Oryzias latipes: one gene and its partners. The protein of the gene in region 1 interacts with the protein of each later gene in a pairwise test. Links are inferred from orthologs where the notes say so. Each region holds a gene or a part of one and is shown in the gene's direction. Other genes may lie near its edges.

The links.
Region 2: the proteins of fam114a1 (region 1) and spg21 interact in binary tests that used the Homo sapiens proteins (3 or more experiments, as listed by UniProt). The two-hybrid records come from large-scale screens. The link is inferred for Oryzias latipes from reciprocal best matches to the Homo sapiens genes FAM114A1 and SPG21.
Region 3: the proteins of fam114a1 (region 1) and rab2a interact in binary tests that used the Homo sapiens proteins (3 or more experiments, as listed by UniProt). The two-hybrid records come from large-scale screens. The link is inferred for Oryzias latipes from reciprocal best matches to the Homo sapiens genes FAM114A1 and RAB2A.

The regions. Positions count from the first base shown.
Region 1 is NC_019859.2:12,928,816-12,939,131, forward strand, and holds the start of fam114a1 (protein NOXP20), read left to right. Parts: upstream 1-5,300; 5' UTR 5,301-5,408; intron 5,409-6,890; 5' UTR 6,891-6,896; coding exon 6,897-7,211; intron 7,212-7,397; coding exon 7,398-7,482; intron 7,483-7,609; coding exon 7,610-7,824; intron 7,825-9,076; coding exon 9,077-9,211; intron 9,212-9,349; coding exon 9,350-9,502; intron 9,503-10,316. Other genes in the region: klf3 (Krueppel-like factor 3), read left to right, coding at 1-179, 1,153-1,306, 2,396-2,568, 2,660-2,841. UniProt on the Homo sapiens protein: May play a role in neuronal cell development.
Region 2 is NC_019861.2:37,277,810-37,288,190, reverse strand, and holds spg21 (maspardin), read left to right. Parts: upstream 1-4,863; 5' UTR 4,864-4,997; intron 4,998-5,163; coding exon 5,164-5,226; intron 5,227-8,091; coding exon 8,092-8,253; intron 8,254-8,441; coding exon 8,442-8,522; intron 8,523-8,613; coding exon 8,614-8,759; intron 8,760-8,828; coding exon 8,829-8,937; intron 8,938-9,065; coding exon 9,066-9,173; intron 9,174-9,256; coding exon 9,257-9,397; intron 9,398-9,477; coding exon 9,478-9,591; 3' UTR 9,592-9,980; downstream 9,981-10,381. Other genes in the region: AP-2 complex subunit alpha-2, read left to right, coding at 501-631, 701-783, 1,522-1,611, 1,689-1,812, 1,895-2,011, 2,356-2,425, 2,918-3,052, 3,123-3,200. UniProt on the Homo sapiens protein: May play a role as a negative regulatory factor in CD4-dependent T-cell activation.
Region 3 is NC_019875.2:20,927,349-20,937,506, forward strand, and holds the start of rab2a (ras-related protein Rab-2A), read left to right. Parts: upstream 1-4,227; 5' UTR 4,228-4,400; coding exon 4,401-4,446; intron 4,447-10,158.

The DNA.
Region 1 (10,316 bases):
CTCCGTGCCGTACCATTCCATGGTGACCCCTGTGATCAGCTCCAGCCCGGGGGTCATGGTGTCCCCGGTCATGGTGCCAATTCTCTACTCCCCTCACCTGCACCTACAGCCACAGATAATAATGAGCCCGAGTGCTGTCAACGACGAGGAGCGCCGTCAAAGCAGGGAGCACGCCTCAGGTGAGACCTCCTTTTTTCTTGTTTTACAAAGTACATTTGTGCAGGTTAGCATAACGTTTTGTTCCTTTAGAAAGTCATCTTCAATTCCTGGAAGGGATTCCTCTTCTTTGCTCAAAGATTTTTTTGTGAATGAAAAAGTAATAAAGTCACCAGCAGAGGGAGTTGTTCTTCTCTACATGTCTTTAAATATGTCACATTTAAAGGATTTCCTATTCTTTTTTATTTACATAGCCATGAAAATAATTTGTTTAATGTTTAGTCTGCTATTTGAATGCTCCCCACAGGAAATAAAGAGCCGCTTCTGACCGATCAGCTGTAATATGCTGAGCTCAATTGAAAGAAATGAAAAAGAAGTGAAGGAAAACCATGTTAAATTGATCAAAAACCTAAACCACCAATGCAGCTTTAAACACTTTAAACTAGGGAAGACTTTGTCCCATGCAGAGATCCACATCTTCAAGGTTAGTGAGTTTGCCGCCTCGACCTTAAGCCTCAAGAATTGAGGTGTTCAGCGTGCACGGAACAACAAGACAGCCTGAGGAACAAAGTGCACTGAGCTGCAGCACGTCTGCCTGCAGCCGTTCCATGCAGGGAGTCTCCTAACTCATCTTACAGCTGAAATGACAGCAGAATTCAAAGCATCCCACCACAATGTTAAAAACAGACGGTGTCACATTGAGAAAAAAACACTTTTTCCATAATATTCCTCTTTTTATTGATTCTTTCAAGGGAAACTCCTGCGGTCTTTTCAAGAATTTGTGTCTTTTTTTTAATTAACCTTTGCATCATTTCAACATTTGTTTGGTTCTACTCTATTCTGGAAAGATTTACAAACAAAAATTCTAGATATTAAAGTGCACAATGTGGAAATGTGGATTTATTCCAAAATTGATTTGGTTCTTGAGGGAATTCCTTTTTTATTTTATTTAATAAAAGTTAAAAGAATCGTTTTTTTGTCTACAAATTCACTCAGGTCATTCCACGAAGCCGCCAGAGAGCCACGACATGACCGATGGCCACGACAGCCACAAGGCGGTGAAAACGGAGACTCGTGCGGATCTGGGTCCCGACCCCAACTGCTTCCATGAAGTGAAATCCCCCGTCATCAGGAAACTGTCTGAATACGAGTGAGTTCAAACGCCAACCCACAACCACTGCACAGAAACGTGCTTCATGTTGCAGACATAATGTGGGGAGTTTTTAGAAAATAAAATAAAAAACTTTATTGATCCTACAAAGGGGAAATGATCTAAAAAGTGACATAAAATTTCTTTAAAGTTAAATTAGAGGGAAATAAAAGTACTAGACGTAAATTAAATTACTAAAGTTAGTTAACTTAAATTATTTTTCTACCTGATAAAATGGAGCTACTACCAACCAAATGAGAAAAACTTCTCCTTTTCGTTTTTCTAATGCAAACGACAGAGAAAATGTATCGGGCTGTCACGACCCCATGCCATCTCTGTTTATGGAAACTTTAACCTTCATGTTTCCCGTTGTGCTGATATTTCATGTGTCCATTCTCACATCTTTTTATCTTTATTTCCAGTCTAATTAAACAATTTAAGTTTTGTTTGCATCCTGACCCGTTTCTGTACGAATTCTAAGACGCGTCTTCTCAGAGGAGACCACATGACTACACTTGAAGTGTTTTTTTGGTTTATTTATGTCAGCAATCTGGATACCTGTCACCCAGCCCTTGTAAAACCCCTGCTCTTCCTCGTGTAGGGGCCTTGTGTGCAGCTTTTGTGCAGTTTTTTTTTTACCATTTAAAGAGGAAGGTGTGAAAGACGCCCTTTCTTTTATGCCGTTGACAGGAGGACTGCCTTCTCATGCTGTTTTGTCACACTTCCAACTATGAAATAATGTAAGCCTTGGGAAAAAAGAAAAAAAAGTGGGCGTGACTTAATCTGTCAACAGTTTTTCTTTATAAAAAGGGACATGTGCTGTTTATCATTTACTGTAACTGGATGGATGAATAGGTGAAGGGAGCTTCAGCAATAATCAGTGGTTTGCTGGTGTTTTGTTGCCACATGCCTTACAGAAGAATTAAATCCTATTTCAACACCTCTCATCTGCTTCTCCCACACACAAACACACAGCCTGTTTGTCAGTACAAGACGAATTCAAGCTATAGGGTTTTTATAATGTCCATTAATTAATAAAGATGTGAGGCAGCAGCAACTAAAGGTTTTTCCCACTTCTCTGTCTTTCAGGTGCAACGGCCAGTCAGTGATAACTATTATCAGCTCAAATCCACAGCATCCTCTCCCGCCTGACTCTCCTGACTCTTTGAAGAAGCGGCGCATTCACCGCTGCGACTTCTCAGGCTGCAACAAAGTGTACACCAAAAGCTCCCATCTCAAAGCCCATCGTAGGACGCACACAGGTGAGGCGGGTTCTCAGCCATTTGTGGCATAAGGACGGCTCCTGTTTGTCTCGTCTTCAACAAGCGGTGTCTTTTTTCCCGTTCCGTGCAGGTGAGAAGCCCTACAAGTGCACGTGGGAAGGCTGCACATGGAAGTTCGCCCGCTCGGATGAGCTGACGAGACACTACCGCAAGCACACGGGGGTCAAACCGTTCCAGTGTCCGGACTGCGAGCGCAGCTTCTCCCGCTCCGACCACCTGGCTTTGCACAAGAAACGCCACCTCCTCGTGTAACACCTCGATTAAGTAACCTGAAAGAAATTCTGGGCCAGGTTGGACAGTGCTACTTTGACCTGAAAGGGTTAAAACAGCTGGCCTTACACAATGGACTCTGACAGAAGGTGGGAAAATGTTCCTCGGGTGCCTGTTTCGACCTTTTTTCTTTTTAACTCAGACTGAGCGAGAGCTTTTGAAAGCTGTCAGCCCTGTGATCAGCTGTGGAAGGTCCAAGAACTGTTTTTCTTTTTTTTGTTCTTTTTTAAGAGGTGCTGCTGCTTCTTAGCTGGCCTGAGAGCAGCGCCCTCTTGTGGCTACAAACCAAATCCCATCAACATTCCGTCAAGCCTCTGTGCACCATCAGCTATCATTCTCTATAAAGTTCATGTGATTTTTCCACACAGGCCAATAAAATGTGAAACTTTTCCAGAATGTATCATATCACACCGTCTATGCATTGTGTCATACTTCAGTCTTTTTTGCTGTCACCAGTGGATCTACCCGGTGACCCTCGTTTCCACTTCCTCCACGGACTGCCACGTTGAAACACCACACACCTCATCTGCCTCCGAAAGCATAACATTTTGCTAAATGAAGTGATGATCAGTAGTTTCGCACTTGCTTTCTCTTCGGTATATATTGCGTAAAACACATCAAAAACACTTGCACTTATTCAAAGTAGCTTTGCCGTAATTTCTTCATGCTTCGGGTGAAAAGAAAAAAGTGGGTCTCATTCATTGTCAGAGTGAAGTGTTTATGAATGCTTTTCTTTCAGAAATGTGAAAGTTGTTGCATTGGGGCATTATTTTGTGAGTGTGGGACAAAAAAGCATCACTCAGTTTGATGAGGGTAGAAGAAATGTTATTTTTTACCAATTACAGATTGATGTATCTATGAATTTTGACCGTGGTATCTGTTTGTATTGAATGACACTTTTTTATGCTAAAGAAAAATGATCTAAGCAGGGAAAATTTCTCAAAAAAATTTAGTTTTTCAGGAAAAGTAGTGTTTTTTCTTCTTCTTTGATCCCACTATAGAGAAAATTATGTGTTGAAATCAAGAGTCTAAAGTTTTTACTACCAAATGTCACAATAGGAAATGTTCTGATTTGAAAAAATCTGTTCATTTTTTTACACACCTGGAGAATAAAAGAGCGTATTTGTACATCTCCAACGTGCACTTTAAGTAATTTTATATGTATAAAATAGCATAGAGGTATATAAATCAAGAATATTGTCATTCCCAAGGCCAAACATTTTAATTCCTCTGTTTGGGTTCCCTTTTTTACCCTTAATTTGATGATCAAATTGATCAGAAATGTTCATCAAATTTGTCAAGTTCTAATAATATAATGCCTGTCTGTCATTTATTCATATGTATACAAATTTACATACAGAATGTAGCAGCTCAAGTGTTCTGCATTTGCTCCTTAATACAGTTTTTAATTGCAGTTTTTTGCTTTTTTCATTCTGCACATGTAAGTTGTGATATGTTATGATTGATTATTAAACAGAAAGGGCAATTAAAGGTTTTTATTAAGCATGATTTTATATTCAGAAATTTATAAGATGTCTTTAATAAACTATTTCTCTTTCTACTCTGAACTTTGTTCAAAGGGAACTTTATTAAACTGTGAACATATAACTGTAAAGGTCTGTATGCCATTTTATGTTTTTAAATTGAATATTCTTATTACTCAATAAACCTATTGGTAACATTTTCAAGACTGTCTATTTTTGTTATCTGTTATTGCCATTTTATTTGATTTTTTATTGGGGGGGGGGCAGATCTTGTTACATTATTTTTTAATTCCCACCATAAATTTTACACATGTCATTGAGTTTAGAGCGTTGTCTTCAATCTTAGAGCGTTAGTATTCATTTTTCCCAGACTTGAAATAGATTTTCTTGATTCGTTAAAAGTCAGAAAATTGGGCTCGTCCGGGATTTGAACCCGGGACCTCTCGCACCCTAAGCGAGAATCATACCCCTAGACCAACGAGCCGTCGTGCTTTGCATCAGAAAGATCAGGATACAACTAGTCTATCTATGATCAACTGTGATGAGTGCGTGTGCAGTGCCTTTATTAGAATTTTTTCAAGTACTGTAAATATCTATTAGGTCGGTAGATGTTCACAGTAAACTTTATCAAAATACTGACCTAAATTTAATTTCAATGCAAGTTAAATACGGAGATATTGTGTCTCATTATGTTACCTGTATTGTTAATATTGTATTTTTGATAAAGTCCAGTATCTCTAAACATTAGCATTCTGTGAACGGAATGACAGAAACTCTTTAGTAAAGATGTTCATCTTCCGGAAGTTAAAAAAACAACCTCCAAAGCTGAATAATGCACAACAGTTTACGTGGTTATGTTTTTTTTTTTTTAATTAAGGGTATAACATTACAAAAGAGCTAAATAATACTTTGAATTGCGTTAACTGTCTATTTCACTTTGGACTTTGAGCAAAGTTTATATTTGATGCAGGGAACTCTCTTGGTTTGTTGCTCTTCGGTGCCGTCACTGTGAGCAGCCTGCCGACGTGGCGGGGCGGAAGAGGAGCCGCTGTCTGGCACCGCACGGTGAGCCGCTCTGTTACTTTCTCCCTAATAACACCCGATTTTTCTGCTCTACAACGCTCGTTTGTCTGTTTTAACTGCAGAACGCAAACTTTTTCTTAACCTAACTATGTTTACCAGTTAGTTCAGTGCACACCACTTTTGTTAAACTCACTAGATTTCAAAACAAAAGTCATATTTCATAACACATTCATGAAAAACGAGGCTTTTCTGTGTTATACTTTTTCTTCGTATTTTTTTAATGCGTTTTCGTGCTGTAAATGTTTTTTTATTATCATTATTCAAGGTTGCTACGGTACCTGCAAAATGGCTTACAATGATGTCAAATGTATGAAATTGTTTATAGTTATAAAAACGATTTAAATACATTTCAAAATAAATGTAATAGGTACCTTTTCATTTGGTCAGTAAACTTCCTGTCTTGGCACAGGATTATGAGTATTATTCTTATCTGCGTAGGTTTATTTTGTTTTTGCTGTCTACAAGTTTTTACAAAGTTGAACAAAAATATAAATAATACACATTAACGTTGCTGCTTTTAAACTAAGTCACATGTACAGTTTATCAGAGAAGCAAACCTGGCTATTAATTTTTATTTATTTAAAGCCTGTAACGACTAAACGTGCACGTGGTTAAAAACATTGTGTGAGTCCTGCATTTACAGTATGTGGTCAGCAAATGGCGCTATTGGCCATTACATTTATTTTCATTTGGTTTCATGCGACTTTCATTGCAAATTCACGTCATCTATTATAAAATTATTCATCTTTTCAAATTGATTGGAGCGTTTTACATATACTGTATAGAAAACACACCAGAATATAATTTGTGATTTTTATTTATTTATTTTCAGTTTAAAAAATAAAGCCTTAAAGGCTTTTTATGTGTTGAAAAAGTTCTTAATATTGCTGTTTTTTTTAATATGACAATGCTGATAGGTCAAGTGATAGTGCTAAAGACACTGACATAAAGAAAATGGTTAAAATGTTTATTTTCATTGATTTAGTGACATGTCTGTTTAGTTTGAACTTTGTGCCAGAGGCCCAAATTCTGTAAACAAGCCTCTTTTCTTTTGATTTGTTTAAATTTTTGCAAATTATAAATCTTTAAATTCTTCTTTCACTTTTTTAAAACAGTTTTTACTTATTTTCAGACTGATTTTGTTTTTCCCAGAGGATTTTGATATTTCTGTGTCATCTGTTAGATGAGTCAGATGAAACATCTGCTTTTTTAATTCCTTCATGGTTTGTTGGGCATTTTTTAAATCCAATGCAGAGCTCCCTTTTCTTTGAATTTTGCTTAGAAGTTTGTGTCTAAATCATCATAATCAATTGTTGTATTCAATTCTGTCTCTTTTTAGAATTATTATTTAGAAACCAGTCTTAAATCGTATGTAAAAAGCAGACTTTTGTAGAGAAATTATTTTAGATAAGTACAGATCACTGCTTACAAGACTAATACAAAAACTAAATCATTTTTTTCCAGATCAAAATGTCTCAGGACAGCCCCTCTGAGGCAGAACTCCACAAAGATTCCAGTCCTCCACTTGTCCAACCTCTCTCTGCAAATCCTGACCCCTGTCAGGATGTCCCATCAGGCCCTGCAGGTCCCGTGCCTTCGCTGGGGCTGGAGCCACCTCTCCACCCTGAGACTTTGAGCATGCCGCATCCTGTTGAGGACACAGTAAGACAGGACACAACTACCAAGACGGACACATCCGAGCCAGCGGCAGAGGGTCAAGTGACCGAATGTAACCAGTCAGTGAGCCTGGAGCCAGATGCTGAGGCTGCAGAGGAGGATGAACAGGTTTGTGGCTGGATCTCCTCCATTCCAATTGATGTCCTCCACACACAAACACCTGCCTGTCGTCTTGCAGACAAACGTCAAAATATGTGTTCAATTTTACACATGTAATCTAGTTTTTAACCAATCGAATAGAAACAATTGCTGAGTCATGCTTTGTTATGTACATGTGTGTGACTGTGTGTGCAGAATTCTCTTCAACAGAAGGAGAAAAGTTGGGGAGGCTGGAGTTCCTGGGGAAAATCTCTCCTAAGCACTGCCACCTCCAGTGTTGGTATGTTTTCTGTGCTCCTCCTTTTAAAACGGCTCAAGTTTGGACATCATTTGGTCAGATCTTTTCTTTCATGAAGTATTTCAAATCCAGCCCTCCTCCATCTTATCTCCACGTCGTTTATTTGCAGGCCAGAGCTTGACCTCAGTGAAAGTGAAGGCAGGAGAAGCTCTTCGCCTCCACAGAACCTCGGTAGGAGAGGAGGCGCGAGAAGAGGAGGAAGGAGCAGAGGGGAAGACGGATGGAGCCGGGGAGGTTGAGCCATCCGGCGCAGAGGAGTCGACGTCTGCTGATGTCCCGAGCAGGGGCGTTTTCTCGACCATCTCACATGCGGTGCAGAACACGGTGAAGAAACGCAAACGTTGAAGCAAGATCACACAAAACCAGGGTTTACAAATTTTACAATACAAGCTGCTAAAATATTCTTGCTCCTGTGATCTTTAGCCTTTAGCCTGTGAACTTTCAGGCTAAAATTAATAAGTACATAAAAAAATGTCAAAATGAGAACATGAAAACTATTGTAAGAGCTAAAAACCCATACTGTGTTTTATATTCTAGAACAGTGTTTTTCAACCAGTGTGCCGCGGCACACTAGTGTGCCGTGGGAGATGGCCAAGTGTGCCGTGGGAAATTGCCCTCATTAACTGATCTAAAAACATTTTCCATCTCCAGGATTTTAGCTCTTTGTTCATCCAAACAGGCCCTGATAAAACACTGAGGAGTTAGGAATATAAAAGATCGTAAAATACCTTTTCTTTGCATTTATTTTATTTTATTAAAGACATTTTGATAAGAATGACGTACCGCGATTCAGCTGCACCTTCGGCTGTAATTTGGAAAAGTCCCGTGTTGGGGGGGTTAATCACATGTCATCGGTCTGACCAATCAGAATTGCTTAAAGTCTTCACTTCCTTGTCCCGATTTAGCTCGTAAAGTCGCTCAGTTCCGACAGAAATACCAGCTAAAGCTCGTCTTTAGCGGTGTAGCTTTCCACAGAATCCGGTATCAGACCGTGGAACAAGTGAACAAAACAATGAAGCTCCGAAAACCGATCTTCGGCCGTTTTATGCACTATATTTCCCATGATGCATTGGGTTGTGAGAGTGACAGCGCAAAAGGAGATCTGTTGTTAAACGTCTTGAAACTAACGAACACACAAACTGTTTTTAAATCTTCTAACTTAACTTTTATTGCATCTTTTAGAAAAAAACAGCTGCAGTTTCCAGCTTTTTCTGTAACAATTATCTCAAAAATGCATGTGAGACTGTGGAGGGAGGGGCTGTAGATCAATACAGACTGAGTTTCTCCTTTTTTTTTAATTTTTGGATGCTGGTGTGCCGCGGGATTTTTTTTAAGGTTAAAGTGTGCCGTGGCTCAGAAAAGGTTGAAAAACACTGTTCTAGAATACTTTTTAATGTAGAAAAAAGACGGGTCATTTGTGATCTGTTGTTGTTTTAATATTGTATAAAAGAAAAGAAAGTCAACACAATTTATAATTTATTTGAGGTTGTTGTTTTTTTTTAAATACATATTTAATCATAACCTTTTTTTTTAAACAATCTTTTTTGTTCCTTTTTCTCCTGAACTCTGTTCTTAGGGTAAGTCGGTGATCAGTGGAGGTCTGGATGCCTTAGAGTTCATTGGAAAGAAGACCATGAACGTTCTTGCAGAAAGTGATCCAGGATTTAAAAAGACCAAGACTCTAATGCAGAAAACCGCCTCGCTGAGTCAGGTATGCAGACGCTTAGTCATACCACTCATTCACAGAAACAAAAAGCTGGTTAAAAAACGAATGAGGAAGGTGTGTGTTTACACGGACAGAACAATCTGCAGTTAGTGATTTGTTTATTTGTAGCTTTTTATCTTATAGATATTGAAGGAAGCCAAGGAGAAAGACCAGGAACGGCTGAGTAACCAGCCGACGAGTACGCCCACCGCTCACTACAGCATTCTCTTTGATGAATACCAGGGCTTGTCACATCTCGAAGCTCTGGAGATCCTCTCCAACGATAGTGAAGCAAAGGTACAGTGTGAATTAGATATTACTTCAAAATATGCAACACATTCATTTTTGTGTTGGTTCAGCTCAAAACAACACAGTGTTTCTTGTTGGCTCAAATATTGAAATATTTTCTCACATTCTCAACGGAACAGCTCTAAAAATGTTCTCGCAAGAAAAATTTAGTTTTTTTTGTCGGTGCACTGTTAACAATATTTTTGTTACTTTATGTTCAAACTGTGGAGCCCTAAGCATGACATAAACATTATAAACCCATTCCTCAGATAAATACAATTTGTGGCCATGAATTAGTATTTTGTGACCATAATTTTGCATTTTGTGTCCATAATTTTGCATTTTGTGGTCACAAATTAGCATTTTGTGGTCACAAATGAGCAATTTGTGGTCACAAGTAAGCATTTTGTGGTCACAAGTAAGCATTTTGTGGTCACAAGTAAGCATTTTGTGGTCACAAGTAAGCATTTTGTGGTCACAACTTAGCATTTTGTGTGCATAAATTAGCATTTTGTTGTCACAAAGTAGCATTTTGTGGTCACAAGTTAGCATTTTGTGTGCATAAATTAGCATTTTGTGGTCACAAGTTAGCATTTTGTGGTCACAAGTTAGCATTTTGTGGTCACAAGTTAGCATTTTGTGGTCACAAGTTAGCATTTTGTGAGCATAAATTTGAATTTGTGGTCACGTTAGCATTTTGTGTGCATCAATTTGCAATTTGCAGTCACAAATTAGAGTTTTGTGAGCACAGATTAACAATGTGAAGACACTAACTAGCATTTTGTGTGCACACATAAGCTTTTATTTTTAAATAATAATTAGT
Region 2 (10,381 bases), on another chromosome or scaffold:
CGATGCTCGGGTCTCCATTAACGTGTAGCAGATCTGAGAACTGGACCGGCTCCGGTTTTCAGGCCCAGAAGGATTTTAGTTCTGAAAGAAAGTGAATTGTTTTTGGGTTTGGTATCTCTGCAGAATTTCCCTCTAAAACGGCGAGAAGCGAAGAACTTGATAAGTTCAAGTGTCGTCTTAACGGTGAAGCCGGAAGAGAAGAATCGTCTTTAAGTCTGTTGGCGGCGTGCGTTAATTTCTGATGATGCAGACTTAAAGGCTGTTAACCCGCTTATGTCTTGTTGCTACCTTTCTTTTGTCCAAATGAAGAAGCTAAAGTTTGTCTGAAAGAAGCCGGCGCAGTGATACAGAACGTTCAGGCAGTGTGACCGGAACTACTTTTTATGCGCGTTTTATCACTTAGCAGCCAATCAGAGTTGAGGATTCAGCCAGACAATCATAAGTGAAGAAAAACCAGCAGGATAAAAGTGTTGATTGTAAAATTGCTGATGCCCCCCCAGGCGTCCCCCCCTCCCCCCACAGAAGTGCTGGCCCTGAACCCGACCCCCCCGGCAGCAGCACATAGCCTGCTGGTGGACGTCTTTTCAGACCTGTCGGCCCCCACCGCTGTGGCGGAGGACCACCTGTCCAGGTGAGTGGTCCCCCTCCCCCGCCCGCCCCCTCATCAGACTCGGCCTGACGTTCTGCCGCGTCTCCTCAGGTTCGTCTGCAAGAACAACGGCGTTCTGTACGAGAGCCAGCTCCTGCAGGTGGGACTGAAGTCCGAGTACCGTCAGAACCTGGGTGAGTGTCGGACTGAGTGTTTATGATCCACTGTCTTCTGAAGAGAAAAACCTTGGTAGTTTATTAAAAATTACATTCAAATACATTTTTTTGTTAAAATTGTTCCGACGCAATGCATTGTGGTCTATATTTGCAGATCTAGGCTGTGTCTGAATTCCCACTCTAACCCTTATATAGCGCTTTCTCCAGGTTCTAGTTTGTCTGAATCTACAATTCCAAAATCCAGAGCCTTAGAAATTTCCCCGAAGTCTCTGAAAAACCAGTGTGCATCGATGGTCACTAGATCGGCGAATATAGACCACAATGCATTGCGTCGGAACAATTTTTACCAAAAAAATGTATTTGAATGTAATTTTTAATAAACCATCAACGTTTTTATCTTCAGAAGACAGTGGATCATAAATAAAACGCTCATATTAATTAGATTGTAACTTCCTGAAATCAATGATGTCATATCTGCTGTTTAAAGAAAATAGTAGTGAGCGTCCAGGGCTCTACATAGAGCCGCACTTTGTAGATTTTTAGTAGTTAGGGCGGGAAATCAGACACGACCCTAGTGAGCATCGATGCACACTGGTTTATCGCAGAGACTTGTGGGAAATTTCCAGGGCTTTGGATTTGGGAATTTGAAGATTCGGACGGCACTAGAAATGGAGAACGCACTATAGAGTGGGTAGGCAAGGAATTCATGACCTCTGACCTTCCACCCAGCAGAACGTCCTTCTCTCTTCCTCCCAGGTCGCATCTACGTCTTCTACGGCAACAAGACGTCGTCTTCGTTCCTCAGCTTCAGCTCGTGGGTGAGCAGCAGCGACGTCCTGAAGACTCATATCCTTTACGATCCCCGAGGACGCCGGCGCCGCCCTCCAGCCCCGAGCAGATGGAACCTTGACCGCCGCCTCCACAGCTGAACGTCCACGCCAAAGCCGTGGAGCCCGTCATCGAGGGCGGAGCCCAGGTCCAGCAGGTCCTGAACATCGAGTGCGTGACAGATTTCTCTGACGTCCCCGTGCTCAACGTCCAGTTCAGGTGGGTGTTTAGCCGCGCTCTTATTGTGAAAGGCCCGGCCCCGGACAGACGTGCTAACCTCTGACTCTGTATGCCAGAGCAGATACGCTGGGACTTTGCAGAACATTGAAGTCAAACTTCCTGTGATGCTGAACAAGTTTTTTCAGCCCACAGAGATGACATCCCAGGACTTCTTCCAGCGCTGGAAGCAGCTTGGAGCGTAAGCGTCCTCACCTCTGACCTCCATCAGCACGCCTTAAAACGTTTTCACTGGTTCCAGACCATCAGATTCTGCTTTTGGGGCCTGAGAGGAGAATTGAAACTTTAGTTTATTCAGATGTTTGAGATCTGGAGACGTTTTTGTGGGAACGCCCCCATCTCCCCATGTCAATCACAACCCGATTAGTTCAGCTGATGCTAACCTCACATGCTAATGCTAACGACGGGCCCCGCCTTCCTGGCCAGAGGTTCTGGTGCTGAAGCTTTCTCCATGTTGGTTTGAAACGTCACAGCGTTTCACCTGCACCTTCTGTCCATCATTTTCCACCTTCACTGTGTCCTCAGACCCCAGCAGGAAGTCCAGAAGATCTTCAAGGCTCAACATCCAATGGAAACGGACGCCGCCAAAGCCAAGGTGAGGAGGACCTGCCCCTCACCTGCAGGACCGCTGTCAGCTCATGGTCAGCGCCGTAGCAAGCACAGGACCTTGAAAGTGGCCACGCCCATACCGTCAGCGTGGTCCTGTCACTTGTGGCAGCCATGGTCCAGAGGTACGGCGGGCGACCTCTGGTTGGAATGCTGCGGGTTCGATTTCCGCCTTGCCAACCCATGTGTTGAAGTGTCCTTGGGCAAGACACTGAACCCCACATAGCTCCTGGTGGTTATGGGTTGGCGTTTGGCAGTGGAGCCGCCATCAGTGTGTGACTGTTCGCCGTTTACCGTCTTGGTTGGCTTTCAACCACGAACCTTAGACTTTAGGTCTATTTTTGACTGGTTAACCGCCATCATGCCACGCCATCACCGTCATGGAAACCAGTCTGTGTGGCCCTGCAGAGGTCTGTGGGTCTGTGGGACAGTCAGTAGCGCTGCACAAACGTCTGACCCGCTTCCTGTGCGAATCCTGCAGCTCCTGGGGTTCGGCGTGGCGCTGCTGGAGGGCGTGGATCCAAACCCCGCCAACTTCGTGGGAGCCGGGATCATTCACAGCAAGAGCGCTCAGGTGGGCTGCCTGCTCCGGCTGGAGCCCAACACGCACGCGCAGGTAAGACGGCCTCCACTCTGACCTTTGACCTCCCCGGGGTGGCCATGCTTATGCGTGACTGTGTCCCCAGATGTACCGCCTCACCCTCCGGACCAGCAGGGACTCCGTCTCCCAGAGGCTCTGCCAGCTGCTGTCAGAACAGTTCTAGGCTCCGTGCCGCTGTCGCCGCTCTGCTCGCCGTGTTCCAGTCTGGAGAAGATTTGCTCCGCCGTGGAGTCGCCGTTTTTACCTGCTTGACATGGAAGCAAAGGTGTTTCTGCACTGATGTGTCACAGCGTTAAATGTGTGTGTTTGTGTGTGTTTTCACACTGAGCACCTTAGAAAACTTCCAGCTTTTTCAAACTTCCACATCGGCTTAGCAGCTGAAGGACTAACGGACGGAAACGTTCATCCAAATGTGCATTTATACCTTTAGGGAAAAGTAGAAATACACGACTTGTGTATTTCTACATCTGTTGGTACTTTTTTTTTTTACTTTAAATTGTGTGATGTGGGCGGGGCTTTTCATATTCTGAGCAGGGATTGGTTAGTGGGATTTTCTGCTCTCTGTGATTCTGTACGTTTGATACTTTCCAGGAGACTCAAACGTGTTCTAGACTAACCACAGTGGGTCTGGGCTCTGGCCCCGCCCCCTCACTAAGGTTTTGACCTTTGGACATTGGTGAATGAGTTCAAATGCGTCCATCCTTCAGACCTTCAGCAGTGCAGAACGCTGCTGCACAGGACCGTTCTGCATGTGTCGGATGGGAGATTCCAACGTCTTAAAGCACTTCTTCTGTCTTCTGGAGCTTTCACTGCCAAAACGTTTGTCATTGAGACGCTGATGTGCCTGGAAGAGAATCTGATGCAGCTTCTTCCCTTAATGTGTCCTTAAGTCTGTTTGGGGCTCCAGGACTTCCCTCAACTTTATAAAGTTTGGTAAAAAAATCATTTCTACTGTTGTCTTTTTGTGGTTTTCCTCCTTTTTATCTTCATTATCAAACGTTTGTTAAACAGCTAAACAGTTTAGGGTAAATAAATTCACTTTGGGGTTACGCTCATGTTTCACAAGCTTTAAAGCTGCCTTTAAGTTCCAAATGGGAAGAAAACATTTCCAATAAACTGACCTTCACAGTGGGGACGACCTGAGGAAGCAGTTTAAACCTTCCATAACTGATCTTCTCTGCGTCACGTCAGACACACTTGGAGGTGGTTAAACGATTTCAGATGAAGCTTTTAAAGAAACAGCTGGAGAACCGATGGGGGCCAAAGTCTGAACGACACACCAACACCGCTCTGGGAAACGGAACCAATCTACACATCTTGTCATTTCAGTTTCCTGTCCAGGTTAAACCACAAAAAAATGAGAACAGACAGGATTTCAATGAAAGACTGATCCACACTGAAGATGTAAATTATTCCATTTTACTTGTATGAATTGTAATTTCAGAACAATTTACGAACAAAAACGCATTTCATTCAAGAATTAAGTTTGTTTTAGAAAGTTTTTCATCCAAATATTTTGATGACTGAAGTTAAAATTATGAGAAGAATTACCTTGAGGTTTGACCGATGCGTTTGAGAAAAACGGGGATTCGGAGATTCGTTGGGTTTTGTGTGGAAAGAATCTCGAGTCTGTAATGTCTTCTTACATTTCTATTGATTCCATATTCAGACAAACATTGAATACATTTGAGTGCTACATTGTATAGGATGAAAACTGTAACGACAACAGAAATTAAGCAAGACTTAAGAAACCAAAGCGGCTTTCTTACTGCCGGAGAACAGGATTTTCAGAGCGACCGCGAACGCAGCACCGGAGAGGCTACTTGCGGAAGTGTGTGAAAGGAAAATCACATGACCGAGCTGCAGCCGCTCCAAGCGCTACCCGACATGGACAAACGTCTCCGGACACGGTGACCCTTCACCGAGCAGCGGCGTGGGCTCTGACACGGTGACGTCCACGGTGAGTGGGGCTGGCGGGGCGGTCGGTTTCTACGCCGTTAACGGGGTTACCGCGGGGTTCGTTTAGCAGCTAGCCGCTATTATGGCTAACAGCTGCCCCCGCGCGGAAGCAGCTGAGCCCGGACACCCCCGCACACACACTTGAGTCACCGTCTCTGTGTCCGCAGATGGAGGAGATCAAGGTGTCTCCAGACTACAACTGGTTCCGAAGCACCGTGCCACTTAAGAGGGTAAGTTCCCGCCTCGTCACGCGCCTCACTCCGGAGCAGCTGGACCGTCGCCGATGCGATGAGGGCTAACGCTCGCGCGCGTTGAAATTCTTATGAAACACCTGCTCTCGTGGTCACGTGATACAAAAGCACCCCAGGTGTGAAGGGGTCCATTCCGTGACGGGTCATCGGGATTCTGTCCTGCTGGATCAACCTTCAGGTTCTGATGAGCCGAACCTGTTCAGAACCGAGCTTCAGGACAAACACAGCTGAACTCCTTAAACCCAGAGAGGTTATTTTTCTGAAACTACATGCACACCGTTCAGACCAGGTGTTCACACTGCGCCTGCAGGGAGGGGCTTCTTCTTCTTCTTCTTCTGTTTACTAGCCTCAACCTACAGTCGGAGGAGGCTTGCTGTGAAATGTCCTCCAGACTTTTGTGACTGACTCTGTCGTAGAATTCGGTTGGTTCTGTAAATGAACCCTTTAATCGCCGTGGCTTTAGCGCCCGTGTTCTTTACCGTACCTGGTTTTAAAGCCCTCCTATTCAAAGGTTGAGGATTACTTTATATGGAAATGAGGGCGTGGTCTTTAAGCTGACAGGTGGTGGTAGTATCATGGTCTCTAAAGCACACGTTAGCTTGTCACGCTGTCTAAGAAACGTTTTACAAATGTTATGCACTAATACTTGATCTTGTGACCTGCTTCCCTTCTGTTCAATAAAATCACCATGAAAACAGTTGACAAACAACAAAATAAGACCAAGAACGCACTGCTTAGACCACGCCCCTTCGCCATTACGTGTTTTCATTTTGTCCCTTCTGTCTCACCTGTTTCCTGTATTCACTTTTTAAACTGGTTTATGGTTTTTCTGGAGAACCACAGTTTGGAAAAATGAAGCTCCGCTCAAACAGATGTTTGATAAAATCATAAAGTTTTTATGATTTTGCTCAAATGTTGTCTTTTTTCAAATTTTATTTACATTCAGATTGTTGTAAACATTGTTTTTGTGGTTAGTGAATATAGTAGGAAGACTCTGCATCTCATTCCACAGCAGAAAAAAAAGGTTTTACCTTGGAAAAAGGAAGCTTGGAGCCTGACAGCTGTGTTTCTATTTTAGTCTAAGAAAATATCACAACGTTTTCTGCTAAAGATGTTTAATTTAAACCTCACAAATCCCCTCATGAGTGTCAGGCGTCTCTGCATTTAGTTTGTTAGGTTTTTTTCAAGATTTGTGGTCAATTATTGCTTAAACAATCGTTCTGATTGCTTTAGTTCATGACTTTTGTGTTGAGTTCTGCGTGAAAATGAGAAATCTGAGGCTGGATTTCAGCGGCACGGATCGCCCTCTTGGATTAAGATGAGATTAGCTTTCAGAAAACGGGTTTGGTCCTCGGATCTGCTGTTTGGTGGAACAACGGCTCGCGTTGTCTTTTGGAATAAGACGATTATTCCCGTCGGGTTTTTAGCTCACAGATCTCTTAAAAATGGGGATTTGTTTGGCGTTGGAGCCGACACCCGGCTGGTTCCCGCAGCTGGAGGTTGAGCCGCTGCTGCTGAGGCTCTGAGAGGTGGAGAGTCATGTGACGGCGTTCATCACCCAGCCGTCACATGCTTCCCTCAGCTTCACACGGGCATCACATGTGCTGCTTTTACTGGCACGAATCCACTCGTTTTCCCTCTGCTCACTCATGCACTTCAGGAGAGATGCATTCTGGGACAGAGAGGTTGAGTGACTGATGCAGGTCAGCTTCTGGCAGCACGGCTTAAAACCCCCCAGACAAGTTTGATCTGAAGGATTTAAGATTTTCAGAAAAACCTCTCTGCAGATTCTTTTGTTACCACTGACTGTATACCGGAACTGGACGGAGGGGCCCCTCCCCTTTGCTACAAACAGGAAGTATCTGCAAATCAACAGCTGTCATTCTGTTGGTCAGAAGAACCGTTCTGGATCGGATACCTTTTTGTTTTTAAACATCTACTTGATAAAACTCTTTTTTTTTCCTGTATCTCAAGTTAGTCAAGTCATTAACTGGCCAATCAGACGCCTCAATAAAAGTAGGCGGAGCCTGTTGACCCCCTTGTCCAGTGTTCAAAACGTTTACAGCTTTCCAGTGGTAGGGGCGTGGCCTTCCAACAAGCTCACTCCTGATTGGTGGGAGGGGCTGCCATAGAACAAAGCGTCAATGCTAACATTTTAGCTGTTAGCACATGAATTCTTCAACTGGATGCTATTTGTTCTGGTTTTGCTTTTTAAGATGCAGAATTTTCTTTTTCTTTTTTTAGTTGGTGTTTTTCAGCCTTTGGCTCCGGTTGATCATTTTGGTTGAACTCGGCCTTTTGAGTTCTTCTTGTGGTCGCGGTTCACTTCTGACGTTTGTGCTGCTGATCGTTTAGTGTTCTGCTTCCTGATTGGCTGTCGTCAGTCCGTCTCCTGAACAGAACCCATCAGATGGTTGTTCTCCTGCTATCGTCTCATGTTTCTCCAAAGGTCTGACCTGTCAGAGTGAAACGTCTAGAAAGTCTTCAGTCAGGAGTTTTCTGCCTTCAAACATCTAGACTCTAACGCCGCCATTTTCATCCATCGCAGGTTATTTTTTACAACAGAACCCGTGTGATGAACAAACAACCGAACCCTTTATGGACCGTCATGACGCTGTTGTATTTTCGTAGTATTTAGAGATTCATTTGTATTTGCTTTTTTTTGGCCTTGTTTGGCATGTTTCTGCTTCTCGCTGCACTTTTCACATTTTTCCTCTTTTGTTAAACTTTTGTGATTTTAGATTTTAGCATTTCTTTCTTTGGAGCGTTCTCTTCTGGTTCCGTTGGTTCCGTTGGTTCCCCGCCCTCTCTGAGGCGAGTTCTCTGGTTTCCTGTTTCCTCCAGATCATCGTGGATGACGACGACAGTAAGGTGTGGTCTCTGTACGACGCCGGCCCGAAGAGCGTGCGCTGTCCCATCATCTTCCTCCCGCCGGTCAGCGGGACGGCCGAGGTCTTCTTCCAGCAGGTTCTGGCCCTGACGGGCTGGGGGTACCGGGTCATCTCGGTAAGCAGGTTCATCCTGTTCTCCTGCACATCTTCACGTTAACTCAATCCTTTATGTTTACATGTCATTTATCCGCATCGGTTGATTCCGGTCGCTGATGAAGGTTCTGATGAAGAGTCCGGCCTGAACGGATGGTGCAGCGTTTCCCTGAGCGTCTGGACTTGACGGTTCCTCTGTTCTGGTTTCAGCTGCAGTACCCGGTCTACTGGGACCTGCTGGAGTTCTGCGACGGCTTCAGGAAGCTCCTGGATCACCTGCAGCTGGACAAGGTACCTGTGTGGTTCTGAGGTGAAACTGTGTTGGGTCCAAACCCGTGGGGGCGTGGACTGATGAGATTCCTGTGCCCCCTCCCCCTCACAGGTCCACCTGTTCGGCGCCTCACTGGGCGGGTTCCTGGCCCAGAAGTTTGCGGAGTACACCCACAAGTCTCCCAGAGTGCACTCGCTGGTCCTGTGCAACTCCTTCAGCGACACCTCCATCTTCAACCAGACGTGGACGGCCAACAGGTGGCGCTCTCCGCTCGTCGGCAGGGGGAGCTTGCCGTCTTCTGGCGTTCACGTCTGTCTCTGTTTCAGCTTCTGGCTCATGCCGGCCTTCCTGCTGAAGAAGATCGTTCTGGGGAACTTTGCCCGAGGACCCATGGACCCCAAGATGGCCGACGGCATCGACTTCATGGTGGACCGGGTACGTGGACGCCGTGGCGGTCTGCTGCGGACCGTCTCTGAGCTCTGTGGGGATTTTCTAACCAAGCCGGCGTCCTTGTTGTGCGGTTGTGTTCCGGTTGTTGAGCTTCTCCTCTTGTGCGTCTGCAGCTGGAGAGTCTCAACCAAAGCGAGTTAGCTTCACGGCTAACGCTCAACTGTCAGAACTCCTACGTGGAGCCGCACAAAATAAAAGACGTGGCTGTGACCATCATAGATGTAAGTGTTCCCGCCCTCCCCACCGCTCCGCGCTCACCATCAGTGCCGCCGCCGCCTGACTGTCACTTCCTGTTCCTGTTGAGGTGTTTGACCAAAGCGCTCTGTCGCTGGAGGCCAAAGAGGAGATGTACAAACTGTATCCCAACGCCAGGAGAGCTCACCTGAAGACCGGGGGGAACTTCCCGTACCTGTGCCGGAGCGCCGAGGTCAACCTCTATATCCAGGTGACGCCGCACGCCGGAGCGGGAAACGCCTCCAGATGTTTCTACTGCAGTTCAGCGAGTTTGATCCCTTTCTTCCTCAGATTCACCTGCGGCAGTTCCACGGGACGAGATTCGCCGCCATCAGTCCTGACATGATCAACGCCGAAGAGCTGGAAGTCCACGCCAGCCGCCAGGACTCTGACGACGACCAATGAGCCGAGGCGCCGCCTCCTTGCAGCAGGAGCTTCCTGACAGATGATATTTTTACTGGACAGAAGATATTTTCATATTTTTGCTTTACAAACTCTCAACACTTTGCCTTAAGAGAACTCAACCGCGGCGGCGGCGAACCGCGGCGGTCTGTCGCTGCACTGACCTGATGCTGAACAGGAGGCGTCGGGACGAGCAGCAGATTCTTCTTCTCTCTTTTGGAAAAGAACCTTTGTTTGATCTTCATGTTTTCTTTTACGTCTCGGGTCCAAATGCTGGACAAGAACCTCTCAGCTGCTTCCTGGAGCCGTTTGGGAAAAAGCAAATCCCGCCGCCGTCATTTCAGAGGTTTTATTTATGATTGTTGTTGGAATAAATCACGGGTTCTCCGGTCTGAAGGCGTCCTGAATGTAATCTGGCTGCGGGACAGAAGCTCCTCAGGCTTCCTGTGAACACATTCGTGAATACGACGCAGCACAGACGTCTGCAGCCGGGAAACACCTGCAGGCGTCTCTGTCGCCACGTCAAAGGCCTTCATTCTGGTTTCCATGGAAACCAAAGGTCAGCTGGGAGAACGTGGAGGAACCGGCTTAGAAACGGGACCTTCTCCGGCCGGCGCCAACCCCCTGCGTCTGTGACCGATTCGTTCCACTTTGAGCGGCCTTGAGGCTGACAGGAAAGTGGAACCTGGTCAGTTCACCAGGTGACCACCAGGGGGTTTGGTAAAAAGATCCCCTCCAACTTCAGAACAGAAGAGCCTCTTTTCCCCCCCGGTTCCAAAAAGATCCTTCATTT
Region 3 (10,158 bases), on another chromosome or scaffold:
TTGTCTTTCTGAGAGAAGCAAGTGATGTGTGTGGGAACGCACAGCCGCCCGCTCTCCTTCTCTCTACCCTCTGATGCCCCTCCCCGTGCTCTATCTCTCTTTGGCTCTCTTTCTTCCTCTCTTTCTTGTCAGGCGTTGGTCATTCTGCCTTCGTTGCAAAAATGAAAGTGATTCTTCAACACCTCCTCCCATGCAAAGTTGCAAACTTTATTCATAAATAAAAACATACAGTTACATGTCAGAAATTTTCACATTTTGTGTTGTCGTGGGAGTTGTAATTCATTGTCGTTTGACCATTGTTGCCCTTTTTATGTGTTGGAATGCTGGCAGGAAGGTCATGTTGGTGTTTCTGTTGGAAGCTGTAGACCCACCTCTGGCTGAAGGAAATTGCATGGAAAAAGGGATGGAGGGATGATAGAGAGAGAAACCTGATTGTTTTCCCACTTTAAAGAACCACTCCAAGGTATATTCTTTTTTTTTAACATGTTCTTTTAACACATTTTTCATGATATAAAAAATTTAATTTAAGTAACATTTTCGTTTTTCTTTCTTTTTTTTAGAAAATGTTATACAAAGAAAATTAGGATCAAAGCTGCATTTCTGAGTATTTTTTTTATTCAAATTGTTGTGAATCCGGAGCAAACAAAAAATGCAGTTAGAAAAAGCTTGTAGACGTGATGTAGAAGCTACAATTGGCCGGCTCCAAGCTCCCTGCTCCGCTCCATTCTGATGCCTCCACTTGTAGACGATTAAATCCATTTACGTCTTCGTTCTCCTTGAGCATCTGGGTCAGAACTGGATAGCTCCGTACTTTTGTTGCACCACTAATGTTAGCTTGGGATTGTGAGGGGCTGTAAGCTTGTAAAGTCCCACGCCGATCATATTCTGACCTACTTTAAAAGCCTTCCCAGTGGTCTTTTAATTATTATTACGGTATGCTGTTTTGGCTAAAATAATTTTTTCAAACAGTGTCGTTTTCTAGAACATCATTTCTGCAGAGAGGCAGTACCTCAATAGAAATTCACCTCTGTGGCAGGACTGTTGGGGCAGAGCAAGCCCACCCCCACTCCCCATCATCAATTTGTTTACACGATCTCCTGCTAGCTTACAGCCCCTCACAACCCCAACTTGACATTACTAGTTCAACAATAATAGCAAGCAATATTGGAGCTATCCAGCCGTACAGTTTTGAGCCAGATGCCAGCCGGACGAGGAAAACAAAGACATGCATCTGCATATGTCTACAAGCTGATGCATCAGAATGGAGCAGAGCGGAGAGCTTGTGGCCTGCTGGTTGTAGCTTCTGCGTCACACTTACAAGCTTTTTCAAATTGCTTTTTTTCTGTCTGTTCCTGATTCAAAATGGTTCATATAAAAAAAATACTGAATTTTGTGTTCAACTTTCCTAATATATATCATCAATTGTCAGAAAAATGTCCCAATAGCTTATTAACAACACAAATAACACGATTTTCATCTGAGTGAGTCTTTAATAACCTTATATTGAAAAAATGAACCCCAGACTTCTCCTTTCTTGAACTTCCATAAGATTCTATCTTATCCACCATGATTTGAGATCACCATGAAGTCAAAGCAACATTATCATTTGATAATGGTGGTAAAATCAGATTTTATTTTAAAGCAAAAAAAGTCAAAAATCAGACATCACTACTTACCTCATTTAGTCATGGCTCTTTTTTTGTCAATCTTACATCCTCCAGGCTGCTGATGTTAATTGCCCTACATTCTTTATCTGGAAATGGTCCTTGGAGTCATCTAAATGAAGACATGCACCCTTTTTTTTAACCTCCCAAAACAAAATGTGTGATTTCTTCACATGTTTGAACCAAATCTGAACCACAGTAACTTTTTAAAAGAAGAGCAGGCACCTTTATGTCTGGTTTCTTCAAGTATTTCACACGGATCGTACATTGCTTTGGACAAAACATCTTGTTTAGTTGACCATTCTCTTGAGGTCTCAAGTTGTTTTTTTTTTACTCTCTGCTGTATTGTTCTTGCTAAACGAGGCCACAATTTGCAACTTGAAACCTTCAGTTCACTGAGGAAATAAACCAGGTCAACTTCAGACTCAATACACCTCCAGATGGTCTTTAGATAAAATAGACCTTAAGGGCATATTATATTGGCTTTACTAAGACTTTTATGTTAAGCGTTTTAAATTGTAACTACTAATCGAGTAAATTAACAATAACTCTGACAATAGATTGATTAAGAGGCTTCAAAATCCCTCAATTTTTTGGAGGGGATATTTAGCATAAAGTTGCAGACAAGACTTAAGATGAGATTAAAAATGATCCATTTATAGTTCATAAACATGTAAATATGCATTAATTAGTATGGTGTGTAATACTCAAAACATGTTTTCAGGAAAGAAAAGAAAAACCTTACTGAAGTTTTCAGTTTTCTTGTAAAATGTGCATCAATTCAAAGGAAAGACAGAAGTGAAACTGTTGGTTTTTTTTTATCAATGTTCACATCAGAATTTACAGTCAGCAGACAACTTATTTTATCAATCTTTTGTTAAAACATATTTTTCGTGTAAAGATTTAATCAACAAAATGTTGTTTTTCTTAAAAATTTTGAAAAACTAAGTTGTTACTGCAGCTTCACATCAAAGTTAGGCACTTTTAAATACTCATTTTTATACTTGGATTTAATTTTAGTTTTCCATCAGATAAACACAAACAGCTCGATAAAGTGAGGTGCAAACCTGGTTGCTACAGTCCCAACTTGTGAAAGTGACTCTAGCCCTGAGAGAGATCTGTTTCTTCATGCTTGCTGCCATCAAGTGGTGTGAGTGTAACCACAGCTGCAGTTTCAGTGCCAAAGACATCCCTCTGGTTCCCTGCAAGTTAAAAAAACAACAACACCAACGTTCAGTTCAGGTTCCTACAGAGTTTTGTGCTCCTTGTTCTGTTAATTTTTTTTTCTTGAATCATACAATTCTCATTAGTTCGCATGATATTACAATGTATTTTTGTTATCAGGAAGACTATGTCGGGATGACATCACATAATTAATAAATAAATTAAATGATAAAAGGTTATTTATATAATATTAATCATTTTTAATCTAACTTTTTATTCTGAAGCATGGGGGTGTAAACATCATGATTTGCAGCTGCTTTTCTTCAAAGCAGGACGACTGATCCGTATTAAGGAAGTGATAAATGGGGCAATGTATGGTGAGATTTTGGGCAAAAGCCTCCTTTGAGGCCCTCTGTGAGAGGATTTCGCATGAAGCATGTCTGGATCTTCCAGTATGACAGTGATCCCGAACACATCGTCCAAGCAATGAAGGAGTGGCAACAAAAAAAAAGCATATCAAGGTTCTGGAGTAGTCTATCCAGCCTCTGGATCTCAATCCAAAATAGAGAATCTGTGGAGGGAATTTAAACAGCAACAGCCCCAAAACATCACAGCTCTTGAGAAGATCTGTAAGGAAGAACGGACCAAAATAGCCGCTACAGTGCAAGCCTGTTGAATATTTCCAGGAAATACTTTGTCATTGAGGGTTTACAAATACTGAGGGGACATTTCTTTTCGACCAAATACTTGTTTTATAGATTTTATCTTCACCCTGTATAGACCCAAGCACGTTTTTTTTCTCCTTATAATTGCGTGGAGTCATGTTTTTTTCCTTTTTTTTTTTACATAGATGTTTTAGTCTGTTATTTGTAAGTATCTTTTTCTTCTTTTTATTGTATTTTTTTCTTTTTTAGTTTTTCTGAGCCACACAGGCACTACGTTTTCTGTTTGGTCCTTGTTTTCCCTTTTCTCTAAATACACAGCCTACAATTGTGGATTAAACTAACTGACCAAAGCTGGGTGTTGCTCATTCTTTTGTGCTTTCAGGACTTTCACATTACTAAAGTAAATACTATTATGAGTAGTCATTGTTATACCCTAAATTGATAATATAAGTTAATTGCAGTTTGTTGTACATTGTTCATTTTACATCATGTTTTACCTCTGCAGGTTTTAATGAAAGTATTAATGCTATTCAGGACTCGTGTACAAATCTGTTGTAAAATTACTTATGAAGAACAGTAGCATTAATCTTTAATGTGAAAAAAAGGTTGAAGGAAACTTTCACAAAACTTATCACGGGCATTTTAATAATATATTAACAAAACGAGATATAAAAAAATCACAAACACGAACACACACGACAAAACTCCTGAGCATGCCTTGAACGCATCATTGTGTAGCGTGGCGAGGGCGGAGCGTATGACGTCGAGCTGAAGCTCGAGCTGTTTATTGTTCCTTCCTGAGCACCGACAGAGAAAAACAAGCTGTCAGCTACTCATTTGATACGGTTCACGGCCCGTTTTACTAAGGTGTAACGGTTAAGAAAGCTGACTGTACAAAGCAGGTGCTATGGCGTACGCGTACCTCTTCAAATACATCATCATCGGAGACACAGGTAAGTAGCATCAAGTGCCAGCTAGACTCAGCGGTAGGCTATCTTTCAGTTAGCGGCTATTTCCGCAGTGTTGGATAGTCCAATGACGTGGTAAAAGCAGAGACGCAAGGGGTGGGATGACAGCTCCGATTTTCTCCCCCGTTTAATACATCCGAACCAAAACCAAAAAGAGAAATAAGAAAAATAAAAACGGTCGTTCCGTAACTAGCTCCCCCCCTCACCCCGGTGCCGTAGTAGCTGTTGACACCGGCAGACGTTGGGCCTTTTGTCTGCTTGCGTCGAGGGTGGGGGTGTTAGCCGCTAACTAGCATGCTAACTGGCTACACCTCTAGAAAAGATTACAAACAGCTGTCACGACAGCAAGTTAGCCTGTTTTTTCGTGTCAGTATACATAAAAATAAGTCGTAGCATTCAATTATTTTTGTTTCTGAAACATTATCTTTACTAGTTTTGGAATAATTTAAACTTAATATTAGACAGGGCCATGATAGCGTGAAGCTAAAGCTCGTAATAATTTTTCAAATGGCGTAGACAGAGCTTGTTGACTCTTAGTTTGACCACATCTATTTTCGCGGTTCACATGTCCCCACTATACTCGATTTCTGCTTTCTATTGGTAAACGTATTTATGGTTTGGTTACACAAATGTCTTCGAGTGTTATCCGCTTATTTTTTTGACAGATTGTATTGATGATGATGGGCCTGTTCAAATACACGAGCAGCAGGTGCATATGAAGAAGAACTGCTGTGACAAGAAAATCTAGAATCTTTAGTTTGACATAAGCAGATTCTCAGGAATGTGATGGGGACGTCTGATCTTTAATGGCTCAATCGGATAGAAATACCACGTTGGCTGAATGAAAATTAGACAGCAATTGAAGGTAAACACACCGAAAAATAAAACTTTAAAATCATAAACTAGCTCCAAACATTGTAGAAAAGATCCTTTCTTCTCTCTTCTGGACTACATGGTTCTTGCAGAAGAGGTTCATGTTTTTATTTGTTAATTTAAGAGGTTCATGTTTAGCTCGTTATCATTTATTCCTAGTTATCAAAGCTGTTTACAGCTCTGGCTAATATACCAGCTCAATTCGGAGGGTATTTTCAGAAAAACAGACCACACAGCTCACATCAGCGGGGCTAAGAGTCATCAAAATCTTGAAATGATAACCACAATATGTGAGTGTAAATTCTCCAGAACTCTCAGTTCTAGATTTCATAATGAAGATCCAGCGTAGAAAACTTGAACTGCAACTTTGTATATCCATTTTGGTTTAAACAGGTAATTTAAGGTTAATGGTTACCTTCTGGTGAAGGATTTTTACTTTACTGGGTCTTTAAAATTGTATAATTATTGCTTGGAGGAACATAAAACTGCAGTTCCAACTGCAGATTGTAATAATGAATCAAATCATGTGGTTTTAATAAAAATAACAGTAATTGCGTCATCAACAAAGGGGTTACTAGCTTGAAAAAAATTCCTTTTGCTCAGGTCATCAGCAGTAATTGGGTAAAACATTCTCTGTCTGAATTCACTCACTTCTCCCTCTTAAAAGACTATCCAGTGTCATTGATTTCACTTTTCACTTCAGTTTGGACCCATGATCACTACTTTTTGTAGTTTTTTTGTTGTTTTTTTAACTTAAAATATGATCTCACCCGTTTGTCAAAGTAAAAACCTTAAAAAATGTACATTCTACAAAGACTATTTATGAATCTATTGTGTTCTGATCATAAAAACTTAATGATTTATTTAAAAACAATGCATTCATTCAAATGACAAATTGTTCAAATGCAATGTATTGTTACCTGTTTTCGCCTATCCAGTGACCATCATGCACACTAGTTTTTTTGCAGAGGTTTCTTGGAAATTTCCAAGCCACTGGATTTTGGAATCATAGATTCATAGTGAGTAGTGTGTGAATTCTGACACTTTTTACTTTATTATAGATGGTAAAGTGACGAAAATATTGACGTTAATATACAGTGAAAAAAAATCATCACAATTGAAAATTTGAAATGTATCAGCATTGACAGAAGGAACATCGTCTTGGTAGTTTGGGGTAAAGTATTTTGATTTTACACATTCCTTTTTTAATGATAATTATAAATTGTTATTGGTATCACTTCTTTCTGTGCTGACAGGTAAAGAGACTATTTTTGACATAAATATTAAAGCCATGCTTTTCACTGGGCCACTTGTAATCACCTTTAATGTATCTTGTAAATCACAAACTAATTTCTCTGTGCGGATGCTAATTTGGTTATATGTAATGTGCTGTCCTGCATGCAGACATCCTGAGAAAGAAATCGTTTTCTTTGTACTCCTCGGCTGTATAAACTACACACTGAAGCATATCTTATGGAAATTTATCTGTTTTATGTTCATTTTTGACATCATAAATGAACTTTAAATCATTGGTGTTACAGGTAAATATCAAGGGATAGTGTTTAGGCTCTTGTTAATTTTTCATATCAGAAGTTTGATAAAAATTGTATTTCATTTTTATCCCCACTGAGTCCGTTTTCATTTAATTCCTTAAGAACAGAATTAACCTCATCTTTCATAAGAAAACTATAATTCTGGATAGATATGTTTATGAAATGGGTGTATATTTTAGCTTATATCATAGCTATAGTCCGGATATAAACAGGACTGCTTTGCTTTTTTCCCTTTTTCATTTTGATATCATTTTTATTTTTAAATGTATGTATATTATATAATTACAATTTTGTTTAGTCAACCATTCAGAATAGTTTAATTTAAATTTGTTCATATTGGAAACTACATTATTAAATCACTTGATCTAGATTTGATTCATTTATTATTTCAAAACCATTTTTAGATTGCAAAATGTTTTCTTTTTTCAAAGATGCAAAGGTGGCATTTTAGGAAATTGATGAGTGGATTCTAATTATTCATAGCAAATTTCTTAAAGAAATATCAAAATGAATACGTTTTACAAGTTGTCTTTTTCTTTTTTACCCAACCCTTATTAATAACATGATTCATTCATGTCAAAGAAAAATAAATAAATGACTAAAGGTTCATGAGTCGGTTGTGGTTTTCTTCAATAATGTCTGTTAGTTTATATTCAATACTTGCTCAAAGCTCAACCCTGGCCTTAACCTGTTACTCAGTTTAGAGAAATAGCTGTTGGCATGCAGCTGGCTTTAGTGAAATGAGCTTTTAAAGGATGACTAACAGTTTCTAAGATCACACCCTCTTTTTTTACTATTTTTTTCCCTCGCTCTCCAGATTCAAATGAATGATGCCTGAAAGAGAATAGATAAAAGCAGCCTCCATCCAACATGGAGGGGAGACATTGCCCCCTTATATAAGACAGCAGCTGGACATGGAAAAGCATAATATTACATGGAGCTATTGATTAAGTTCTGTTGGCTTTTTGGCCTGAGGTTTAGCCTACAGACTGATTTGATTGACAAAACTGAATATGAGTTGAAATGGAAAGTTTCTGCTCTTCTTCAAAGCCCTAAACAATAAAGTAGGCTTTGTTCTATTGAACACTGCCTGCAGAACTCTAAACCTCCAAGTTTTGACCCCACTTTTTAATGGGCACTGAGAAATGGAGGCATTTGTTCTAATGCTCAGCTGGAGTTCACTTGGAGCGTCGTGTTTAAAGCAACCCATTTATTTAACAAGTTACAATATTCAGAGTTTGGATTAGGTTTGAGGGGGAAAAAGCTTCACGTTTTCTGTGTGGTTCCATAGTTGTCTTTGACAATGTTTATTTTAAAAGAAATGTTCTCCAGCTAATGAAGGAAAGAATGGCCCTGATGATGGTTTTTAGGAATGTTAACCAACAACCGTGTGTCTCCCACATTCCTGTGATTTACTTTGATTTCTGGAAAAGATTCTCAACATTTCTTCTGAAAGAATCTGAACGTGTTTTCTTCTTTAGCTTGGCTGCTCTCCTCAGGGCTCGCCACAGCAACTATGGCTTCACTTTTGTTCTTCCTGGCAAAAACCTTCTGCATTTGCTCAGAGCTCTGACCAGCGCCTGTAAATCCACTTGATCTTGTCCCTTTTTTGGTTGCATTAATGACCTTTTAAGGCTTTGAGGGCAGTTTTAAACAGACTTACAGTGATGTGTTTGTGCTTTGTCAGGTTTCACAGCTCTTTGGTGTGATGGGATGTGCGAGGACACCCGTGCAGCCTGCTTTCATGTTCAATCCTCTGCAAAGAACGTGGTGCAATCATTTGACCTTGCAAAATTTCTGCAAACCAGTCATGAGCAGTGCAACATCAGGTTTAGGCTGTAGTACGACACATGTGGGAAACCTCACCTGCTATTGATAAATATGTATGATTTAACTTTAAAGTCAATTATTCCTTAGTCCCAAAGATGGATTTTGAGAATATATTAACCTTGCTCACTTTTCAAATCCACTTTGTTTTGAGTTAATTTAAAGACCCACCCCGATTAAATATGTCTTGTTGTGTAGAAAATACGCCGGGCGTATAAGATCCCTGATCCGCTCCATTCGTATACATCCGACGACTACATCCATGTACGCTGCCATGAGCTGGCATTCGGCTCAAAACCGGACGGCTGGATAGCTCCAAAATCACTCCCCATATTTTCTTGCACTGTTAATATTAGTTTGGGGTTGTGAGGGGATGTAAGCTAGCGGTAGAGAGTGTAAACAGATGGGGGATGCGGTGTTGAGGGTGTTTTTAATTACTGCCGCGCTGCAGAAACTTTGTCCTAGAAAACAATCGTTTTTTTTTTTATTTGGGTGAAAAATAGCATCATCATATTAAAAAAGACCACTGGGAATGTTGTCAAAATAGATCAAGAGATTTATCTGAGTAGGGGCTACTTTATGAAAATATAAAATGTTAACATTTCTTTGTTTTACTACACAACTAGTTTTATGACAAAATATCTTTATCTCTCCTTAAATGATGGCATTTTTTTCTCTATGCAGATTTTGTCTTTACAAGAAATTGTTGTTTTGTTTCTTAAACTACTGCTAAAGCCCAAAAACCACATGGGTAAGAGGGCTGTCCTTCCCTTCATTATCTTAATCAAGTTCTTGTTTACATGTCAACAGCTAAATGCAGCTTTTAAAAACTGTAGAATGACATTAACTAGATGATGTGTCACTCTCCCAGGTGCACTGTCTCTTAATATTTTTGTCACATTGTGGTTCTCCATACTCTTATAACAAAATCCTAATTTGCAACATTTGCTTAACCTTTATCATGTAGGGAGACTCTCCACTTAGATTGGAGGGACTAAAGGGTGCAAAATGACTTACCAGTGATTTACACAATTACTGAGTCTGACTGTTTACTGAGAGCAATTTAGTTATTCCACTGGCGATTCAGCCGTCCCCTTCTTTGGCTTTGCAAAAAGCCCAGCAGGACTGTCAACATCCGAATTTCCGCTGCATGATGAGGCATGATGATGTGTTATTACCTCAGCCAGAAGCTGATGGAAAGAGCTTTCAGAGAAATATTACCCAGCTCTCCACTCATTATTGTTACCATTGGAGCCACTTTCACCATTTCAAAGCACAGCTAGCTTTGATTATACAGCAGTTCTCTGCACACAGTTAGTAGACTACATATCTGCTTTCATTCAATGAGAAGCCAGAGGTTTCACATTGTGTCAATATTCCAAGAGGATATCATTTTAAACAAAGCTATTCTGTCAAATTTGATGCAGTTTGATTAAAAAATTTC